Linked DNA regions of Struthio camelus. The protein of the gene in region 2 purifies or fractionates together with the protein of the main gene of each other region. This does not show direct contact. Links are inferred from orthologs where the notes say so. Each region holds a gene or a part of one and is shown on either strand. Other genes may lie near its edges.

Region 1 (7,710 bases), on a different chromosome or scaffold from region 2:
ACTAAGCAATAGTTTAAGCAGTCACTGCTATTTCAAGTTAATGTTGTTATATATACACTTTCAATTTGAGGACCCAGGCTTTACTAAACTGTATCAGTCAGTGAATTAATCCCTTCCACTGCAACTCTTCAGAGAAATCCCCATTTCAGTGAAACTTACCAATGATGATGATGATGATAATGAGAACAACAGCTATCAATATTGCCCACATCTGTGAAAAAAGCCACAACACACTTACTACAAGACTATGCAGCAGCATTTACAGGCTTTTAGGGTACTGGGGGCAAGGGGGGAAGCAGCCATTGCAAGGTACTCTTGCACTGTGTGCTAGATTAACAAGGTACTTGTTAACTTGTTAAGAACTTGTGCAGCAAGCTCATCTTGATTGACACTCAGAAATGGTAGGTTGTGCACACTGGCAACTGAAGTAGACCAAGAAGCTCCCTTCCGTTATGTCTCTATGCAAAGCCTGTCTCAGGTGACTATACCAACAGGAGTAAGAAGAATCCTATTAAACACCTCTTCTACTCCTATCCTACACCACATTTTCCACTTTGTTGCTCAAAGAAGGTTCCAACATTTGCCAGGAGCTGCGGAAGACTGAGCGAGCTCCTTCGGCTTTGCAATGCTTCCTTGCAGGTTAGCTCCACCGATATATTTTTGGTCTTTTCCCTCTTGTTCCCCAAAGCCTCAGATTGCAATAATATTTCCCTTTGGCCATTTCCATCTTAGACAAGGTCTTGTGTCAAGGAGCAGGGCTGGTAATCCAGACATTGATCACTGCGCACAAGCTCTGTGGTATATGTTTTAAAACTAGCTGCTATAACTTAACATTGGTCGAGTCATTTTTACTTCTGCTTTCTGAGATACTGATTGTAATACTGAGTAGTTCAAGTATTCAAGCCACAGTTACCTTACAGTTCTTCCACCAATACTTTCTTTTCAGTTTGGCTGCACTGGTCTCAAACTGGGAAGCTCCTGCTTGCAGCGCATCAGCACGGTCATCCAACTCTGACAGCTTCTGATCTCGTTCCAATACCTTGTCCACATTCACCCTCATGATGTCAACCACCTACATCAATTTAACACTTACAGTAAGTACATCAACTGTATCACCCATTGGAGAGATTAATTGCAGACAACAGATCCCAATACCTGATATTTTTGATATTTTTAATGTTCTCCTAAGGAGTAGGAGCAATTGCCTTTTAGGAAATCTAATCGCGAGCTTCAGTGAAAATGTGCATTTCACATGCAGCTGGAAGTTCCTAATACCTACTTTCAAACGTCAGTACTGCAGAAAAGTTCTCTAAGTTGTGCTGGCATTCCCTGAAACCTGGGAAATTATTTACGACCTACTTCAGAAGGAGTTGAGGCATTTTACCATGACTGACAAAATATTTTTGACATGCAATTCATTTTAAGTGCTATCCTGTTCAAGCAGATAAAGCTGCTCTTAACCGTTAACGGCTTTTGGATTCCTCAGAAATTTGGGCATGTCTTATTTGGAGACGATCAGCTGCCTTTGCCACCGAGGAAAGAAAAGTTTGTTCTCTGTAAGAACAAAGGGTACTATTTTAACTTACGCCCAATCCTCAGACATAGAGTTTGCAGCTAACCTTTAGACGCTGGCAACTTCTCCCCACTCCGGCAGAACAGCAGAATGGAAGTTTTTTGACATGCTGCCACCCCTCACCCTCCCCTTTTTTTTGTTTTTTGTTTTAAACCTTTTCAAGACCCAAAGTGATACAAGTATAATAAGGAAAGCTGAATTATACTAGGCTTCCCTTTCACATAAAGGAATAATAACTGCTGCGGCCAAAGCTTATCTATTTTGCTTATCAGGTTTTCTGAAAGAGACAGAATTACACTGCTATCAGACTAGACCTTTACCTCATCTACTTGGTGTTGTGTTTGTTGAAGACGACGATTACTGCCAGCAGCAACATTTGAGCTTCCAGGGCCGCTTGCTGACCTGCATTAAGGAAAGCAATCATTATTTTATAATCACTTTTTATAATTTTCTTCAAGTTGATAAGCTTAAGTTTAGAAATTATCTGCTGTTCCTGAAAACAGGGACCTTGGATCCTTGGAAGAAATATGGGGCAGTTTCCTTTCCCATGGGAGAAATGAGGTTTTAACCACTGACCTTGGGTATAAATCAAGCTGTGCCCTAAAACCTCCTGCCAGTGAATTAATTGCTTGAAGTGCTAAAAGACAGCTGTGGCTGGCTAATAATGCAACTTGTAATAAGGCATACAGTGACTTCTACAATGGCTCATAGGGCTCAAACATTCAAGAGCTTGGGTTCAGGGGTGTTTTCTTCAGAAAGAATGCAAATACTAAGCTTCAAGACTCAGCAGCTTTCCAAAAATGAAATACAGAAACTTAATGGTTATTCTAACTACACGCTCTTCCAGTGCTTACCCGTTTTGTTTGAAACAGTTGGCATGGAGCCAGAGAAAGCACAATGAGGAAAAAGCATTCAGCATACAGCAATTTACTTGCGGTCAGCTTTTAATTCCTAAGGTCAGGCAATCTAGTTCCTTTTACCAGCTGCAACACTTTGCATCTCTGTAACTGAACCAAGATCCTCTCTACACATTCCCCATGCCCTCTTCGCGGCTTTAATGTCTTTTTGTTATCCGTCTCTAGGACTAGCTGTACTCAATTTGCTCTTCTGTATTTTCATCCATTCTGCATCAGACACACTACTGTTTAGTGCACCTTGATATAAGAAAGATGAATTTGAATATTAGCTATATTTATACATTTTAACCTAAATCTACATTTAAAGGGAACAAAGGTGTACCTGTACAAGGAGCAAACCAGGAAGCCTATGACAGGGCTCAAGAGCAGTCCACATGTATGACAACAGAACTGCTCCTACACCTTGACAGCGAGGTCACCCTTTTATACTCTTTCACTGCTAATCCAAGACTAGACCGCCTTGGTAGACTTGACAGAAGCCCCTTCAGACTGGCCTGAAGAAACCAGGACAGGATAGCCCACCCTAAGCAGAAGACGAACGCCCCAGTGCCTGGGCCAGCGACACTACGCGGCTCTCAGCCACCGCAGCGCCCCTCACGGCTCCAGGCACAGCCGCTCCCACGAGCCCCCCGCCCCGCCCCGCCCCTCCCCGCCCGCCCGTCCGGCCTGCTCCGGCCGCCGCCCGACCCGGCACGGCCCGCCCAGCGCCGCTCGCCCGCCGCCCCGGCTCCCCCGGCCGCGGGCTCCCCCCCCCACCTCGGGCCCGCCGCCCACCCCGGCCCACACTCACATGCTGCCGCCGGGGTCGAGCTGCCGCCCACCGAAAACGTCCGACCGCGCCCGGCAGGAAGTGCGCGCAGCCCCGCCAGCCCTCGCGATGTGACGAGCCGGGGCGGGCCTTGCCTAGGCCACAGCCCCGAGCGGGCGGGGCGGCCGGCGCGTGCCGCGGCCGTTGGGGGGCGGGGGGGGGGTCGGGCGCCACGGCCGTTGGCGGGCTCGCCTCGCGGCCGTTGGGGAGGGGGAGGGTCGCGCGCCGCGACCGTTGGGCTCGCCTCGCGGCCGTTGGAGGGGGGGGGTCGCGCGCCGCGGCCGTTGGCGGGCTCGCCTCGCGGCCGTTGGGGAGGGGGAGGGGGAGGGGGAGGGTCGCGCGCCGCGGCCGTTGGGCTCGCCTCGCGGCCGTTGGAGGGGGGGGGGTCGCGCGCCGCGGCCGTTGGCGGGCTCGCCTCGCGGCCGTTGGAGGGGGGGGGTCGCGCCCCGCGGCCGTTGGCGGGCTCGCCTCGCGGCCGTTGGGGGGGGTCGCGCGCCGCGGCCGTTGGGCTCGCCTCGCGGCCGTTGGGGGGGGGGGCTCGCCTCGCGGCCGTTGGGGGGGGTCGCGCGCCGCGGCCGTTGGGCTCGCCTCGCGGCCGTTGGGGGGGGGTCGCGCGCCGCGGCCGTTGGCGGGCTCGCCTCGCGGCCGTTGGGGGGGGGGGGGCTCGCCTCGCGGCCGTTGGGGGGGGTCGCGCGCCGCGGCCGTTGGCGGGCTCGCCTCGCGGCCGTTGGGGAGGGGGGGGGTCGCGCGCCGCGGCCGTTGGGCTCGCCTCGCGGCCGTTGGGGGGGGTCGCGCGCCGCGGCCGTTGGCGGGCTCGCCTCGCGGCCGTTGGGGAGGGGGGGGGGTCGCGCGCCGGGGCCGCTGAGGTGGTGGCGAGGGCGGGGCGGGAGGTCGGGAACGGCTGTGGCGGCGCTCGCCGCTGCGTCAGGCGCCGCAGGGGTTTCTCCGCCCGCTCCGGCTCTCCCCACCGGTCCAGCCCGGCAGTGCCCGCGGGTGGCCGGGGCGTGTTGCGTGAGTGCAACGCCTGGTGGGAGCGGCTGGTGCCAGGCTGCGGGCACGCGGGCTTGAACCAGGCATCGGCAGAGGCCTCGATGTGGGCTGTGCCTGTGAAGCAGGTAACCCCGCCATACAGGGACTGAGAGGATTTGTGCCGGGGGCGGGGGGTGTTGCTTGTTCAAAGCCCTCTGAACTGTGTGGTTATGCTACCAGGGAGGCCCAAATATGAGTGTTTCCCCCCCCCTCCCCCAGCCCAGTGGCAGACACGCTGCTGTAATTGGCAGGCCGCCCTCAGCAGGCATACCCAGCTTGCTGAGCAGGCTGCACGTTGTCCCTTACACCAGCCTTTCTGTGACAGACAAGCCTGCAAGGTAAAAACCCACACCTGTTCTATGGCAGGTGGGAACTGCCTAGCAGGATAAGCACTGTGATACTTTGCTTCAGTACAGTGCAAAGGAGGAAGAGGGCTAACAAACGGGCTTGGGGGAGCCGCCTTTGACAAAAGCTGCCAGGAAAGGGCTGGACTCTCAGTTCCTGGCTAAACCTGGGATGTTTATCTTTTGCAGACAGTTGGCCACACTGTGATGGTGGACATCAGTGAAACAGTGAGGTACTGAAGAGGACAGGCAGCAACCAGGTTAGGAATGATCTGTGAAAGAGATCACCTTTAGATTTGATAAAGAGTGCATATGTATACATGTGCACGCGCACACACATGCAGTTTTGCCTGGCATACAAGGGACACAGCCTGTTCCTCTGGACAGCTTCTGTGCTTGTGTAATGGCAGGGACACACCTACACTGTTCGGTATATGTTAAAGGGACATGTTGCTGCTGTCATTATGGTATGCCTCCCCAAGTCTGTGTAGGCTTTTGTACAGCTGAAGTTACTTTGTTACCTGGATTTCAAGCATACGGAAAGAAAACAAAAGAAAAAGATCTGTATTTTTTTTAAGGAGTCTCAGTTCCTTCAGGAGTGAGTCTTCTCCATGTGTTCTCTGAAAACAGAGTAAGCATTTCCTTGGTTTAGTGGCAAGCTGGCTATCAGCTGTATGCCTGCATGGTGATGCTTAAGCTACATCTACAGTGCTAAATGTATTCATGACTTTAAGAGTGATTCATGCTCCCAGGCAAGTAGTGCAGTGGGTATCCCCCAGTTCTTAGGAGCAGCACCCTCTGAAGTGAATGGATACAATTATACTGATTGCCTAACAAACACTTGGCCTGTTGCTGCTCGATCCTTGTGATGATTTTTAAGATATCATTTTTCTTATATACTGTGTGGGTATGTGTGTGTGGTCTAGCCTGCCAGTTACGATTTTTAATCATACCACACTGAGTGCATGCCTTGCATGACCTAAGGGTAAGCGGAGGACACTCAAGAGCACAAAGCCTCCCAGGATGGTTTGCATGCTTGCACAGTGTACCAAGTCGGGTCTGGTCTTACCCTGCTGTCTACTGTGAATGGGCCCCAAAGTCAATTATGTCCAGAAGTGCGCCTGGGCTCATCGCTCAGAGAATTAGCTGGCTTACGGCAAAGGAGAACCCCCAAATTAACAGGCATGCAAAATGGACGCTCAGGGAAGAACTGGAGAACAATTTGGGGGGTTAAATAACAATGTAGATTTATGCTTAAAGAGCAACATACTTAAACGTGTTTCACTGAATTCCAGAAGAAACTCTCTTAATTAAATCTAGTCTACTGTTGCAGTCATGGGTATTGGAAGAACTTGTGATAATACATAGTCTTACAAAAAAGAGATAGTGTTAAAAGTATTTTTCTCTGGTAGGCTAACTTCATAGTTGGCTACAATTACTTGCCTTACTGAGGGTTAGTTCAGGTAACTTATGTATCTGTTATCAATATTATTGTGTTATTAAATGTGACCCTCTTAGGTTTGGACATCTGAAGGCCTCATGAATTTTAGTAAGATTGGACTGTGTGCAGCATAGGATTTTGGATTCTACTACTACATGTGCATGATTTCTCATGGAAAGCTCGGACATGAGCCCTGTTTTGAAAGTGATCTTTTTTTTTTTTTTTTTTTTTTAACTGAAGAGGTACTGAAAATAATTTGTGCTCAGACAAGCTAGCAGTTTGTAGCTGATTCCATATCTGCCAGATATATACTATTAGCTATAGCTGCTGAGTTAGGAAACTTAGAATTGAGACCAATGAAGAGTCGGTCAAATATTTCTCAACACTTTCCTGCTACTACTCTTTTTTCTCTTCATTTTCATTTCATTAAAAAGATACAAGCATACAAAACATTTGCTGGATCTTGTAGAAAACTTGTTATACTACAAAAAGGAAAAATGCCATTTTGTCCTTATCAGCATTTTGAGAGTACATACAGCAAATGGTGCTGCCCATGCTGCAGATACAGCAATGAGCAAAGATGGAAACAAAATCATGCCTTTATCCCTGATCAAAACATTCATTCAACCAATTTGAGCTACTTCACAAGTAATTATTTTCTTTTTAAACTAGCACTCTGTCATAATTTCACAGAACATTGACCATATTAAAGTGTATTATACTGCCTTGAAAATTAATTTCTGCCAAACAAGCCTGCTTCCAGTGAGCTGCAGCTGGGCAGAACCCGTCCCTATTGTATTTTGTTTAAACACAATGGGTTTTTTAGTGCTTTTGTGTAGTTGTAGTTATCTTGGCAAAATCTGTAATTTGAAGCTTAGAGAGAATGGGTGCCCAATGTTTGAGATGTTAAGTCGGTTTTCCTTTCTACTGTAAAAGCGAAGACCGCACTCAAAAAGAAAAGTTTCTCTAAGGGGTGAGGACTGCAGGAGAAGAAACAGAAGAAGTGGCTGGTGTCTTAAACATTTTGTCTGATGGCTGCCAGCTTGGGTGGCAAGCCGTGGGAGCTGCCTACAGTGCCCGGGGGCCTGAGCTGGCAGTGCAGAACGGTGTTGTGGAGCTCCACGGCTGGCTCCGAACCTGGAAAGGTCCCAGGGAGGCAGAGCCACGCTGGGGAGTCACAGAGCACCTTTGGGCATCAGCGCCTTGCAGCAAAGACCTGGAAGAGTTCACTGTGTGAAAAATCAGAAGAGTTCCTCTGCAATGTGCTGCTTTACGCACCTGATGAAGGTTACATACAGGACTGTAAGAAGCAGAAAATGCTGACGATTTGGGGAGCGTGCGGTTCTGTTTAGCGAATCCCACTGCGCTCTGGATGCTGCACACCCAGAGAGGGTAGAGTTTGGACCATTCAGATTATAACCAGGTATTATTTACAAGCAGGTTATGGAGTAAAAGAAACGCTTTTTTTCCTAAGGTTATTAATAGCTACTGAAGGAATATGTTGCTCTTTTTACTAGAATGGAAGAGAGAGTGTTTAAAAAAAAGGTCCACACTTCGTATGGGGAAATTTTCTTTGTTTTTAATTTACAGCAGAAAGA
Region 2 (7,695 bases):
CTGCGGGGGAAACCAGTTTCCAGTTCAGCACTGAAATGGCCGCAAGCTTTCTGCTTTCCCACCGAAGTGGCCCCCCCACCCCAACGCTTGTGCCCCGTTCCTACCTGAAGCCCACGTTCCTTACCCTGACCACCTGCCGCGTGCTTGTGATGAAGGTTTTCCGTATACCCAACTCCGTTGCATCGAGGTTGAATTTCCGAGGGTTTGCCTCAACAATGCGTAGAGAACAAGTCAAGGAATCACTGTTTGCAGGGTGCAGTACGTACGCAGATAGAGAAATCCTGACCACTGAGAAGTCTATCACGCGGTATAGCGCCTCCATTTACCTGTGCCTTTTCCCAACATTCGATTAGCAAAGTACAAGACACTAAAGGAAAAAAGCACGGCTGCAACATACTTTGCAGAACGCACGAGAAAGAAACCACACGCTCGTGTGGTTTTTGGTTGTCTGATGCTGTGCAGCACTTTCAGGAGTGTTCAGCCGAACACAGGGAAAAGGAGTATTTCTGGAAGCCAGCCTCGAGTAGGACTGACTACACAGAAATCCAAGTTCATTCAACAGAACAGTTTTCTGGGAAGAAAGCATCTTAATAGACACCTTTTCAAAAGGTGAACAAAAACGCAGAGGGAAATTCGTGCGCAGAACCTGTTTTGTCATCTTCCTCTCTCATTTGCAATTCGAGAAAACCTGGGGTAAACTGAAAATTCAATCCCGAACAGTCTTGGTTTCTGCAAAAAGCAACTACTGGCGAGCACGAGCACTTGACTGTTTATTGCAAGGTGTGAACTGCCTCTCTCTACCTCCAAAGACGGCACCAGCAGTGCAAAAAGGATATTAATTGTTTCATCCAGGTCTTCCAAGTCCCACTCGATGCTCCGCAAATTGTTCCTGAGCTCATTAGTGGTCCAGTCAATTTCTTCTCTTGTGGCTATAGAGGGATCTTGCAAGAGCTCCGTCCACCTCTGGAAGAGCCCCTGGGCAGTATTCACTGCTTTCTGCACCTCCCTGCAGTCAGGATAATTAAAGAGAAGTGAAGGGATTATTTTTAGTTGTTTTGCCGCAGTCATGCAGGGACAGTCCCATGTCCAGGAGAGCAGGGATGTGCAACCTCCTCCCAAACATCTTTCCTTCAAGTATTTTTGGTTTATTTTGTAAAATAAGGATTCACCACGCTTCTGGACAAGCTCGTCTCCTTTAGTGTTGTAGCATGAAGTGCTGAGCAACAACTCATAGTTCAGCTACCGGAGGTTTCTGTTCAGTGTCACAAACAGCAAGATAGGGCAGTGCAACTGTCTGATCAAGACTCTTATTTGGCAATTATTATTTTGCATTTCTCCCAACAGCTTTCCTCTAAAGACTGTTGACTACCTAGGCAAGATACCCCAAGGGCAAACAGAATTAGAGGAACTGCCCCCACGTTACAGTCATGCAGACTGTCCAGCGCAGCACTGTTTACTTTAATTTAGCATTAAAAAAATACACGGCTCTACTGCACTGGCTTAGCCAACAGAACTCTCTTCTGCTGCTCTCAGCTTTTTAGAGAAGAGCGCATTCACAGCATGGGAACATAGGCTTTGCTGACAGCACTGAACGCTGCATTCACGGTTTGGGGCAAGAGGGCAGGTAACTGTCGGTGTGATTATCCATACGTACAAACACTATGGACCATTCTCTTGGGCTAACGGCGAGTCAGGACGAGGCAGACAGACAAGACCAACGCCAGCGAGACTTTGCTGGCTCTTGAAAGGTGGCCACGAATCCAAGAGCTTGCACACAGGATCGTGCAAGGGGCGCTGATCTCCAGTGAATCAAAGCAGTTTACCAGTTGGAGAAGCCTAGATGGGTGAACCACGTCCTCACCCAGCAGCCCTCGGAGGGCCATTGGGCTCCAGGTCTCTCTACATTACATCATTATGCTGAAGTCTCTGCACCTTGATGTGTGTTCCTCCTCTTCTCGGACATTTATGGCTCAAAGAGTCTGTTGCATCTACTCCCCTAAAGTTAGCAGCCAGGACTAAGGATCTAGTGTGGTTTGTTTCCTCTGTTACTTGCTAGGCAAAGTTTTGGGTGTTTTTTTTTTTTTTTCAAATCTGAATGTGCTCGAGGAAGTCCCTACAAGTGGAAGTCTAAAGCGGAGCTCGATGTTTGCAGATGGGAGGAGTTATGAATGAAAGGAAAGCAAATTGAATGAAGCACGGCTGGGCTTGAACACCAACCCCTTCCACTGCAACCTGCAGGAGAAGAATCAACACCAAAAGCGGCAGCACATCCCCGCTCCCCTCCCAACCCTTTCCCTCACAGCGCGGGGAATCTCTCTGGAAAGTCTGACAGGACGTTTGCTCCCCACCCACGGCCTTTAGTGGGTTTTTGTTGTTGTTGTTGTTGTAGTTTTGTTTCCCATAGCACCAGTTCAACCTGGAAGAGCGATTCGCTTGCGTTCGCCCCCTGAGCGAACTCCGGCTGGTGCCGCGCTCCTCCCGTTCGCAGCAGCTTCCTCCGAATCCCTCCACCGCTCCGGACGGCCGCTCGCGTCCCCACGGCTTCGCTGCGACACGGAGCCGGACAACCGGCTCCCACCAGAAGCGGGGAAATCACCCCGGCCTGCTTCTTAAGAGGTCAAAGGTGCTTCGCCCCTCTTCGTTAGGGTTCCCCTCGCCCCCTGCCTCGACCGCCTCCCTTCCGCGGCCCTCCGCGCCGCCCAGCCGCCTGCGAGGGGGTGGCCGCCAGCCTCCTCGCGCCGCGGCCGCCTCGCCGCGAGCGGCCACGCGCGTCCCTCGCGTGGGGCCGCCGCCTCGCCGGCCGCCCTCGGGGGGGTTCCCGGGGCCGGGGGGGGGGGTCCCTCCTCCCCTCCCGAGCCCCTGAGCAGCAGCAGAGGGGGCGGCGAGGCCCCGGCCTGGCGCACGGGGGCGGGGGGTGGTGGCGGCTCGGGGAGGCCCGATCCCCCCCCCCCCCCACCCACGGAGGGACATCCCCGGTGTGGCGGCGCCGCCGCGCAGAGGGCTCGGGCCCGCCCCACCCCCGCGGGACCCCCCGCAGCCGGGCCCCGCTCACCCCTTCACCACGAAGAAGGGGTCCTCCATGGACATGGCGGCGCCGGCCCCGCTCCCTGCCGCCGCCGCCGCCACCTCCGCCGCCTGAGCCCGGGCGCCCCGCGCGCCCCCGCCCCGCCCCGCCCACGCGCCTCGTCACGGGCCGCGCGCCTGCGCCCAGCGCGCGGGGGCGGCACGTGACGCTGCCCGCCCCTCCCCCCCCTCCTTGCGCCGCGCGGCGCCGTGTGGCCGTTGGCCGCTGTGGTGGTGGCGGCGGCGGCGGTTCCCTGAGGGAGCGGCGGCCGCTCCCGCCGCTCGGCCCGGCCGCCGTGCTGCGCTCTGCTCTGCCGGGGGAGGAACGAGGGGAAGGGCCAGCCGGTCCCTTGTGCTCGCGTGGCCCTTCGTGGGGTGCCCCGCTCCGGAGGGCCCGGCCCGGCCCCGCGGCCGCTGGCTGAGCGAGGAGCCCCTGGCTCCCCGCCTTCAGGCTCCTCCGTAGCCTCTCAGCCTCCCGGGCGGCTCTGAGGGATTGGAAAGGGCTGTTGCTGCCCGTGGCAGCCCCGAGGCGCTGGCACCGAGAGGAGGGACCCCCGGGCAGGCCTGGGGCAGCGTCCCCGCCGCCCTCCTGGCAGCGCCCGGCCTGGGCTGGCCCTGCGAGGCCCGGGGTGCGCTGCGTCCAGCGATCCCCCCGATCGCTGCTGTGTTCACCAGAGGGTGTGGCCTGGCCGCCGCTTTCCTCGTGCGGTTGCAGTCCGGTGCCGATAGCGAAGACGGTGCTGGTTAGCCGAAGGAATAGGTACAAAGCCTATCCGTAGAGATGCTTTCTCAGCATGTGAAAGGGATAAGTCGCTTTTGCAATCGCAGCAGATTTACTCACGAGCGTGGGGTGGGAAGGCTGCGGCGCGTGTAAAACTGGTTTCTTTAGTTTGCCGAGTGAGCCATCCGCCTGCTGCTTTGGCCAGCCCCGCGCTTGGAAAACCACCGCTTCTCAGGTGTGGCGCAACTCGCAGGAGCGCTAGGGCTGTGTTTGCGGCCGCTCCTTGCATCACCTCGGATGGCTTGTTTCCCACGCAGGCAGGTTTCAGGGGATTCCCGCGAAATGTGCTGTGCTGAACATGCCCTGTGCAGAGCTGGAGTTGCCTTGGGACTCCGAGAGCACTCATGGACAGGAGCGGAAAGCAGAGTGCCAAGGAGACACTCGCTCAGTTACATCTGCCCCCCGAAGCCCTTGTCCTCCAAGCCCCGCAGTCCTCCTGTGATTTCCACCTGCGCTTTGCACTCTTCAGGGCTCCCATCCCTCCTCTCCAACTTCCCCGTGCCCAGCTGCCAAAGCTCCTCTTGTGCAATACTTGTTTCTGTCCCCCCTTCACTGAAGTCCTCATGTTACCTGCAAAATAACCCCTGTTGCCACTACCCCTCGTGCTGCACTGCGGCCCTAGCTGCCTGCTCTAGCGCCTTTGGACTTCTTGCCTTTCTCTGGAAATGCCAGCAGGCTTGAGCTGACCGTAACTTTTGGATGGAGGAGGGACACCAGCACTTTTCCAAGCGGGGAAAGAAGAGCTTGGGCTGGCCTGGAGCTGCTGAGCCATTCTGGATTCCTCCTGTCTGCCCTGCGAGAGATGTTACAGCCAAGGCCTTGCTGCCGTGTGGTGCAGCCAAGAGGTACCGTGCTGGCTTTGCTTCAGGTGCTGGGGTGCTCTGCAAAGGCAGAATTTCTCAGGGCAGTGCACCTTATCTACATACGTAGTACAAACAGGCTCAGAGGGTGGCGGGTTGTTCCAGGAAGTACAGGACACCGTGGCAGAGACACAGCTCACGTGTGTGAATACACACCCTCCGCTGTGAAACCTTTCAGAAGCAGCCAGTCGGCAGCTCGAAGCGTGTCGTAGCCTTGTTGCTGCCTTTTCAGCGTCTCCCAGGGAGTCGCTCTTCGTGCTTGGACTTGGTTGTGTTAATTACTTGGTTGTCTGCTCGTGCACTCACAGAGATGGTGTATGCTGAGCATCACACCAAACGCTATCTTGGTTAGATTTGTTCAAACGCTTGTAAAAGTCTGGCAATCTGCAGCTCTTTGCTGTCAGTGGGCTGAGGCTGCGCCGTTCAGCTCGCTCACGTTGCAAGTATCCCACTGAATCTTCACTGTGCTGGGAATGAAAGAGCAAAGCTCTGGTAGCCCCTGAGAGTTGCTAGCTGGGAATTTTGGAAGTCCTCTAATAAATTACGTGAAACCTTTATTCACGTCGCTTTAGGGAGAGCAAGCGGCTCTTACACCTTTGTGAAAAAGTATAAAGCTTCGTGGTGCTGTTGAGGGCTGAAAATAAGGAGGCACTTTTGAAATGTAGGGAAAGTGCAAACCTCACAGGAAGAAAAAAAGGCAGCCTTTTTTATGATGCTGGGAATTGAGTTAATTTACATGATGTCGTAAATTCACACACAAGAAAGTCAAATTGCTGCTGTATTTTTTTAGGATGGAAGTATTTTTGCTCTGTTTCTTGTGGGAAGTTCCGATCTTTTACTTCGAAGCACTAGGGAGCGTTCTGGTGGCTTTCCCCACGCTCAGCTAACCTATTTCTCCACGGGTGAGGAGCGCTCTGTGAATGGCACACGGCGCAGCTGCAGAACTGGTCAGGAAAGATCTGATTAAACACTTTTGTGCTGAAAAGTGCCAACTCATCAGAATCGAGACCGTCCGCAGAAATGAACTGGGTTCACTGAAACTTTTATCAGAAGAATATTTGTGACAAGTGTATACATGTGTGTGGGGGAGTGTGTCTGATCCCGTACTAGCTACTAGTCTGGTGTTAACAATATGCATTTGACATGGAAGAGATGGCTTTTCCTTCTTGGGGAAAAGCTGGATTTGTTTAGATTTGGATTTGCAAAAGTATAGGGGATTTTTTTCCCCATAGACAAGGCTTTACAATGAAAGGAAGAAGCATTAAAGGAAATAAGGTAAATGAGTTTCAGATGCTTCCATGTGCCTTTCTTCCTTGTTTGCATTTTTAGTAAAAGTTGTTGAAGATTTTCAATGGTGGTTGTAACCGGAGGATTAGGCCAGTGATAACTTGACACAAAACACTAGTCTGTGGTTAAACATTCAGTGCTGTGGTGGGCTGCAAGAGTGTGCACCAAATCCTATCCAGGCATGGCCCCTCTGCATTCATAACTAGCTTTTCTGAGCCTCATTTTTAGACATCACAGTGTGAGGTTTTATGGTGACTTCCCTCTAAAACGCAAAGGGGGCAGATGGCACGAGGCCTCTACTGCGCAATCGTGTGTCATGTTGATATCGGTGACTCTGAGGTATTAAAACAAAAAGGTCTCAAGGGGTGCCTGTTCCTTGCCAAGAGGAAGGCTTAAATGCTGGGTGCTTCCAGCCACACGTGCTCAGCCAGCTAGAGATGAAACCTGGAAGGTACCAAGCTGCCCACAAGTTTACGAGGCAGCTGAGAAATGTCAGTAACTCAAAGAGATCTCTGCCTTCCCAGGGCACAAAATAGAGCCAAAGTGGAGCAGGTGAAGGCCGCAGAGGCAATGGCTACCAGTTCAGCAAGGTGTGAGAGGAAGCAGCTAAGTTACAACTAGCTCAGTGCGTGGCAGCGCTGATGGAGTGGGTTTCCTTGGGCTTGCAGCCTGCAGTTGGATTTTCTGGTATCTGGGAAGGAGTAAAGCCCGACTGAAGCTTTTGCCGTGGCTGTGGCTTTCCTTATGTTGCTCTTCCTTGCGGGTTCTCTGTTGTCTAACAAAAGCTGATTTCATGCTGTAGCCTTACCCTCAGTTGGGGTAGGAATAGTGAAAGGCCTGCCTGTATAGACACTGCAGCCCCTAAGTAGGCAACCAGAAAAAGAAGTTCAAAATGCAAATAAGCATGGAATAAATGAGCAAATGCAAGGTAGTAATTCATGGAGGATGCAGGATGACTATTCAGAATAAGGGTTGTTTTGGAGAAAGTTAATTTTCCTCTTCATAGTGCATGAACAATTGGTCATTTAATGAAGATGACAATGGGAAATGAAATTGAGCAAAGAAGGTGTTGCCAGAGCGAACCTCGGGAACTCACTGCCACAAGATGCCAATGATGCCGAGAGCTTACTCAGATTCAAAAAGAAATTAATTACGTAAGTAGTGAGGTGCCAGATCGCCGAAGTCGTCATTATGTTTTTCAATCAGTGACAGGACAGGAGGTCAGGCTGATTCCAGCTGTGATTTAGATAGTGGAACGGCAGTGGAGCATATTAAACAGGACATCTGCGGCACCCACGTGAACGCCCAGTGAATCTGTCCCCGGGCAGAAATTAGAAGGACCTTTTCCTAGGCAGCCTTACTCCATAACCGTTTCTTGCTCATCATCCTGCTGTCCGAGGAAGACTGTCCTGAGGCATCCTGCCAGGGCTCTAGGCTCTGTCCGAGGGCAGGCAGTCGTTTAGTCGGCCTCGCAAACCAGGTCAGCTGTGCAGAGGGAAAGGACAAAGTGGCCAAAGGCAGGTCCCTACAATGGGAGAGGGCCCCAGATCGAAAGGAGCAGGGAGATCAAACCCTGCTAGCAGGCACAGACACTTTCTTTTTCAGTTTCCCTTTATTGTGGGAAGAGAGGTTTGACACAGGCATGATCTGCTCTGTCCTTGCTACTCTTCTCAGGCGGTTGCTACTCTGAGGAGGCGAAAGGCT

The links.
Region 1: the proteins of STX6 (region 2) and VAMP3 purify together in Homo sapiens (affinity purification with mass spectrometry; 5 studies listed by BioGRID and IntAct, counting the BioPlex papers as one, with this or other methods). This does not show direct contact. The link is inferred for Struthio camelus from reciprocal best matches to the Homo sapiens genes STX6 and VAMP3.

The regions. Positions count from the first base shown.
Region 1 is NC_090962.1:231,478-239,187, forward strand, and holds the start of VAMP3 (vesicle-associated membrane protein 3), read right to left. Parts: upstream 3,413-7,710; 5' UTR 3,283-3,412; coding exon 3,281-3,282; intron 1,976-3,280; coding exon 1,894-1,975; intron 1,073-1,893; coding exon 914-1,072; intron 212-913; coding exon 160-211; intron 1-159. UniProt on the Homo sapiens protein: SNARE involved in vesicular transport from the late endosomes to the trans-Golgi network.
Region 2 is NC_090949.1:6,931,840-6,939,534, forward strand, and holds the start of STX6 (syntaxin-6), read right to left. Parts: upstream 3,163-7,695; 5' UTR 3,088-3,162; coding exon 3,053-3,087; intron 1,007-3,052; coding exon 837-1,006; intron 220-836; coding exon 125-219; intron 1-124. UniProt on the Homo sapiens protein: SNARE promoting movement of transport vesicles to target membranes. Targets endosomes to the trans-Golgi network, and may therefore function in retrograde trafficking.